2 linked regions of the Canis lupus familiaris genome follow. The protein of the gene in region 1 binds, or shares a complex with, the protein of each later gene. Links are inferred from orthologs where the notes say so. Each region holds a gene or a part of one and is shown in the gene's direction. Other genes may lie near its edges.

Region 1 (3,815 bases):
GGCCCTGTGGCCCAGTACCACGCTCAGGAGGGAGGGGTTCTTGTCTCTTGAGAAGGTCAGTGTCTGTGCAAAAACCACTAGTTTGTTGGCTTACACCACTTTCATGTCGGGAGGGGTTATTACCACCACCACCCCTAAATCCCTACAAAGATAGTTTGCTCATTCAACAAATAATTGTTGAAGATTTATTAAGTGCAAGCCCCTGAGCTCGGTGTCTCGGAGGGGAGATAGATCCCACAGGCAAATGTCCCCCGCTACAGAGCTGCAGATTAAAGCACCTACGAAGTGCCTAGGAAGGTCCTCCGAGGCTCGGAGCACTTGGAGGAGGGAGAGTCACTGGGGAGAGGACAGAGGCCCAGGGGAGGTCAGGGGAGCAGAAGAAGAAATGTGTGAGCAAAGGCTGGCGAGTTCAGGGCCAGGAACCAGAGCAAGGGCAGCTCTGTTTGGCCAGAGCTCAGAGTGAACGTGGAAGGCAGAGCCTGGAAAGATGGGTTCGGGCCAGATTTTGGAATGCGATTTTGGGAAGGTTGGCGGGTGTTGGAGCAGGCAAAGTGTTCTGTTCAGAGGTCATCCGGGCGGCCGGGGCTGTGTGCATTGGAGGCAGGGAGGGTCTCGGGAAGGTTACGCAACGGGCAAACTGTCCTGGGAACACGTGCTGAGGTAGTGGCTCTGCAAACTGATGGGTGGGCTGGGGAGGGTGCATTTGAGAGCCAAGTGAGCAAGCAGCCCAAGGATGAAACCAGAGACAGAGAGGTTTCATAGAGCATGACTATTTTCTTACTCCGAAACATCCTGGACGTCTGTAAACCGCAAAGGGAAGGACCTCCGGCCCGTTTAAGGGGCAGGAGGAAGATGATAGACCAGGACTGCTCAGGTCCCAGTGCTGACGGGTCATAGGAGCAGAGTCCAGCACAGGGACCATCCAGCTGAGGGGAGCCCCACCCCACGGAGGGCAGAAGGGACTCGTGGGCTCAGCCTGCCGTTCCTAAGAAGCCCCAGGCGGAGAGCTCATTGAGAAAGTCGTGCCCCCAAAAGGCAAAGCTAGAGAGCCACGGGTGTCAGAGATGGGGTCTCATTCCGGAAGAGCTCCTGTCCACGTGTTCTCATGATGCAGCTGGACAAGAGACATAGAGACAAGGAAACCACGCTCAGGACTCAGATGCTCACCCAGCCCCACCAGGTCCCACCCTCTGATCTTGCTCCCTGACCTTCCTATGCCTGTTTCCATCAAACAGGGATGCACAGCCCCTCCCTGCCCACCACAGTGTGCCCACAGAGGAAGCAGCAGGCTGTCCTGGGGGATCTAGGCTCCCCTTTGGTGATGATGTTCTATTGCCATGACCTCAGCAGACAGCTGGATGCTCCTGACCTGTGAAGACGCAGGGACTGGGAGCCCCTGAGCTGTAGGGTGCCCTTTGCCCAGGCCTCGCTGTCATCCCGAGCTGCTGCTGGCCCTGGCAGGTTCCACAACACCAGTTGACTTAACCTTGAGAGATTTACTTAACCTCTGGATGAGGATGGTGCAGCTGAGCAGACAGGACAGGGCAGCCACCTCTGTTTCAGATTCTCACATCTTTCTGTTTAGTCCTCTCTTCCCCTAAATTGACAAGTCCTCGGCCAGGCCTGGTGGGCCAGCACAGAGGGCCCCTCGGGGAGTCTGGGAGGAGGGACGCTGCAGCTCCTCACTCCCCGTGGCCTCTGAGTATCAAGGAGCAAGAGGACGCTGGGTTCCCCAGTTCCTTCTCAGGGGAGCCAGGCCCTGGGAAGGCAGCCCAATCAGCCACCTCCCCCAGGCGCCCGTCCTTCCAGCCTCCACACCCCCCAACCACCTTGGAGACGTCTGGTCCAGGAAAACGAAGCCCTGGCTCTTTCACCTGCCTCTACTCAGATTCCCAACTGGCCGGCACCCAGGGGCTGCTCTGTGACAGACTCACCATCACCTCATTCTTCCAGAAAGAGCCCCAACATGGGTGATGAGGCTCCTAAGACAACTGAGAAGAACGCAGGGAAGGGGCTGTGCTAGTGGCTGCAGTCATGGAGAGATCCCCGGGGACAGGGTCTTCAGCAGGTGTCCACCCCTCATCCTGTGACAGTTGAACCAGGTGGCCACTCTGCTCTGCCACTGCCAGGCACCAGACAGGTTGGCCCCGCACTCCCCTGCAAGGCCCAGTGTGAGCTGGCATAGAGCACTGTGCTCAGAGCCACTGGTCACACCAGGTCGAGCGTCTATCCCTGGCAGCACGGGAGCCTGAGACATGGAGCCTGGACGTGTGTGCCCAGGTCTGCATCCTACGACTTGAGAAAGGGAGACTCTCAGCTGGCAGTGTTCGCAGATTGAAAAGAGAATGTGCTCCGAGCACACGTAGGGCCGAGGAGCTACTCCGGATGATACTGTGATGGTGCACATGTCATTGCACATTTGTCCAGACCCACAGGACGTACAGCACCAAGAGTGAGCTCTAACGTCACCCATGGTCTCTGGGTGACAATGACGTGTCTGCGCAGGTTCATCAGTGTAACAGGTGCCCCACTCCTTGGGAGTGTCGACAGTGTGGGAGGCTGTGCGTGCGTGGGGGTGCTGGGTACATGGGAAAGCTCTAATACCTTCCTCTCAATTTTGCTGTGAATCTAACTTCTCTAAAAAAAATTACGTCTATTTAAAACGAAGAAAGTGAGCACGCAGACCACGGCTTTGGGCCAGGCCAGATCTGGGGTGCGTTTACAGGGATAGTTCGGCGTGGCCTAAGTTCCCTATGCTCTCTGGTTTCCCTTGCGGGCCTTCCGGTGACAGGTGTAAAGTCCCAGTGTGGCACCTGCTGTGTGAAATGGCTTCGACACTGGCAGCTGGTGTCTCTGTAGTGAACTCAGGTGGTTGGATTTTGCAGGAGGAAGTCGTGGCTGGCCCTCAGGGGTCCTGGAGCTGCTGAAGCGCTGGGGTGGCAGACTGGCCAGCGGCCTGGGGGTGTGCTGGGAGGGTGGGGGGCACAGGCTAGGCCTCCGGGGTCTGGGGGGCATCCCCAGCCCTGAGCCCAACCCGCCTGCCCCTGCCTCAGCCGACTCTTCCTTCTTGTCTCCTCTCTGGCTCTCCAGGAAAGCTAAAGGGGCTCTCCCCCCTGGCGGGGCTGCGGGAGTTCTGGGTGGACAACACCACCTCGGTGTCGGTCCCCATGCTCTCGGGTACAGGCACCTTCCAGCACTGGAGCGACCCCCAGAGCAACCTCTCCATGACCCAGGTGCCCCTCGGCAAGAGCGCCTGCCTGCTGCTGGTGCGGCCCCTCAGCACCTGGGGCCTGCAGACGGTGGAGGCCCTCACCTTCCAGCACAACTTCCCGACGTGGGTGAAGAACCTGTCTCCCCGGTACGGCTCCCTGGAAACATCCTGGCACCCCCTTGGCTGGTCCCCTCCTGGAAAGTGGGGGCCTGGGCCCAACCTTCTGCCCAGGGTGGGAAGGGGTGTGGGGTGAGCCCGGGCCCGGGACAGGGAGGGCTGTTCCGGAGCAGAAGGCCTGTGTGACCCCGGTCCTGCAGCATCCCTCCCTCCATCCATTGACCTAGCTCTCGATGTATTGTCTCCTCCTGGGAGTAGAAGAGGTAAAGGGGGGTGGGGGGTGCTCTCCTCAGGCTTGGACTCACCCACTGGTTTTGGAAGCCTGCATTTCAGTCCACCCTGAGAGGGGGACTTTTTCAATGCCATCATCCCCTGTACCCCCCACCCACTCAGCTACATTCCAAGAGCTATTTTGGGGCCTGGCTTCCCAGAAGGGTTTGGACCCCCCTGAGAGCTGAGGGCGGGGCTTTCTCTAGGAGCTGTCCTG
Region 2 (2,896 bases), on another chromosome or scaffold:
CTGCCTGGTGAGGAAGACACATTTAAGAGGCTTATTTCCAACTCTTTACACTGCACTTCAGAGGCTTCAGGGGGTTTGACCCTGACCCCTGGAAGGCCTCAGAGACCCCTCTTCCTGGCTCACTGGCTCCCGGGGCTCATCGCCTTTCTACGTTCCAACCCCCTGAGCTCACTCCCCTCCCATAGCCTTTGCACTCACTGTTTCCTCTGCTGGGCACAGTCTGTGGTTGGTCCTTCCTATCATTCTGGTCTCTGTTAAAGACCCCTCAACCTAAAGCAATCCCTTCATGCACTATCACTCTACTATTTTCCTATATGCCATACTTCATATCAGCAGGAATAGCACATCCCCAGCAAGTAGCTAGCATAGAATCTGGCACACAGGAGCTGCTTAATGCATGTCAGATGAGTAATAGACAAATCATGCCAGACACGGAGTAAGTGCTCATTACATTACCATTTTGATTGTCCAGCCCGTTGTGGCTCTTGGGGATGGAGAGATGAATCAGACCCAGGCCCTTGCCTCAAGTAGTTCACAGTCCATTAGGAATAAGACCTAGAGAGGAATGATCACAGCCAGGGAGTGTTAATAAGCGCCCAAGGGGGCCAAACGGTGTCTGAACACTTAGAGAAGGGAAGATCACATTCACCTTTGAGGGAATCTGGGGAGGAAGTAGTTAAACTAAGCCTGAAGACCAAGTGGGATTTTCAAAGGGATGGTGGTGATGGTGGTGGTGGTGATGATGATGATGGTGAGTAACTTTGGAGGACTTCCATGTGCCAGTCACTGGGTAAAAACTTTGAATGGATTAACTCCCAACAGCCCCATGGGGAAGTTATTGTTTCATTTTTCAACTGGAAACTGAGACATTGAGGGGCTGTGTATTTGCCTGCGGTCAACAGTTAGTGGGTGGCAGAACCAGGATTTAAACATGTGCTGTCTGAACCCAAAGCCTGTGCTCTTAGCTACATACACCCCACAGTGCCACAAAGCATGACAAGGCTCTATGAGTGGGTGGAACAGTGAAAGTATGTCGGAGGGAAATGCTTCCCATGAGGACTCAGGGGACCCTCAGAACAGCCCATGAGTTAAATGGGTGCCCCTTTAGTTCTTCTGAGTGCTCAAGATAACGATGCTAGTGATAGCTAGCACTTATTGAGCATTCATTCGATGCATTATTGTATTTAATCACTGTAGCTTCTTGAAAGAAGAAGCCCTGTGCTCACCCCCACTTTATAGGTGAGGAAAATGAGGCTTGGACAGGTTGTGAAACTTGTCCAAGGTCCCACAGTAGTCAGAGATGAAACAATTGCTGGACTGTACGCTCCTGGAGGCCAAGGACTGTCTATTTAACCTAACATGGCACCAGAGTATACACTTATTAAGTGAATGAATGAATGCAACAATTCATTGAATACTCCCTCTTTAATGCTCCCTTCCTCATCAGGTTATTGTAGAGATTAAATTAGATAAGAAGACACTGAGCACAATTTTTGGCACATGGTAAGAGCTCAGGAAGACTACCTGCTCCTATGATTATGATTGTGATTATCTGCTTCCTTTTTTTTTTTTTTTTTTTTAATTTTTATTTATTTATGATAGTCACAGAGAGAGAGGGGGGGGGGGGCAGAGACATAGGCAGAGGGAGAAGCAGGCTCCATGCACCGGGAGCCCGATGTGGGATTCGATCCCTGGTCTCCAGGATCGTGCCCCGGGCCAAAGTCAGGCGCCAAACCGCTGCGCCACCCAGGGATCCCGATTATCTGCTTCCTATTAAGACCTTTACCTGCTGATGTTTTTTTTCCTTCTCCTCTCCAGACTCAGAAGTACAGCTTCTCGAGTATGAGGCCTCTGCTGCTGGCCTCATCCGATCCTTCTCCGAGCGCTTCCCAGAGGATGGGCCCGAGTTGGAGGAGGTCCTCACTCAGCTGGCCACAGCCGATGCCCGGTTCTGGAAGTGCCCCAATGAGGCCTCATCTGACCAGGCTTGAGAGATTTATGCAGCTCCTCCCCCAACTCCACCAAACCAGGGTTGCAAGTGACCCCCCTTTCATTTGTGTGCTAGGGGAGGAGCAGGAGCTCGCACCTTGGTGCTACCTCAGCCAAGGGTGGTGACACTAACCCCTTCCATTTGTGGGCACTTGCCAGTTTACCGAGTGCTTCTCCTGTGTTATCTCATTTGATCTGCACTGCCCTTGGAAAGAGTGGGCAAGGCCGGGCTCCTTATGCTGCTTCCCAGATAAGGGAATGGAAGTTCTGAGAACTATCTAAATGCTACAGGACTTAAAACCTCTCCCAATCCAGTGCTCTTCATTACTTTTATAACCAGAAAAATAAACATTAGAAACAACCACCATCTTTGGAATTTGTGTGAATCTTTGATTTTTGCCTTGCTTCTCATTTGCTCCCAGCAGGGCAAAGGGATCAAGGCCTGGGGAAGGGAAGAATGTCAGTTTAGGTTCCCCTCCACAACAGGGTTTTGATAACACTTCTAAATGATACACAGCCATGAGGAGGAGCATAGCACACTTTCTGCAGTTCTCCTTTGTGGCATTATCCTGTATTTAAAAATATTCCAGGAACCTAAAAACTGGAAACTCAATTTCAGTCAATCCTAGGATTTAATCTCTTAACACTATGTTTTGTTTCTCTGAGCGCAGCCCTCTAGAAGGACATAGCCCCTTTTCAACCGGATTAACCATGAGGAGGAGGAGGGTGTAGTGGAGTCAGTTTCGCTGCTCTCCAGGCCAGAGGGTCCTGCCAATAATCCAGAAATTGCAAAGCCAGGAAGTTCCGGCTGGGAAGGAGCAAAAAATAAATCATACCAGTTGAGATTAGGAACTGCGCCTCAGCAGGCAGGAACCCAACTAACAGGCCAGCATATCCTGCTGGGTAA

The links.
Region 2: the proteins of AGT (region 1) and DPP3 are in contact, whole or in part, in a crystal structure (PDB 5E2Q), measured with the Homo sapiens proteins. The link is inferred for Canis lupus familiaris from reciprocal best matches to the Homo sapiens genes AGT and DPP3. Residues at the interface, in NP_001369746.2 of Homo sapiens: Asp25, Arg26, Val27, Tyr28, Ile29, His30, Pro31, Phe32; in NP_005691.2 of Homo sapiens: Phe109, Glu316, Tyr318, Glu329, Phe381, Gly385, Ile386, Pro387, Ala388, Gly389, Ile390, Asn391, Ile392, Asn394, Arg399, Val412, Leu413, Val415, Ala416, Phe443, Val447, His450, His455, Glu507, Glu508, Asn545, Arg548, Leu552, Glu555, Phe556.

Annotation. Positions count from the first base shown.
Region 1 is NC_049225.1:9,068,058-9,071,872, forward strand, and holds part of AGT (angiotensinogen), read left to right. Parts: intron 1-3,090; coding exon 3,091-3,358; intron 3,359-3,815. UniProt on the Homo sapiens protein: Essential component of the renin-angiotensin system (RAS), a potent regulator of blood pressure, body fluid and electrolyte homeostasis.
Region 2 is NC_049239.1:51,338,264-51,341,159, reverse strand, and holds the end of DPP3 (dipeptidyl peptidase 3), read left to right. Parts: intron 1-456; exon of another isoform or gene 457-555; intron 556-1,786; exon of another isoform or gene 1,787-1,818; coding exon 1,819-1,991; 3' UTR 1,992-2,356; downstream 2,357-2,896. UniProt on the Homo sapiens protein: Cleaves and degrades bioactive peptides, including angiotensin, Leu-enkephalin and Met-enkephalin. Also cleaves Arg-Arg-beta-naphthylamide (in vitro).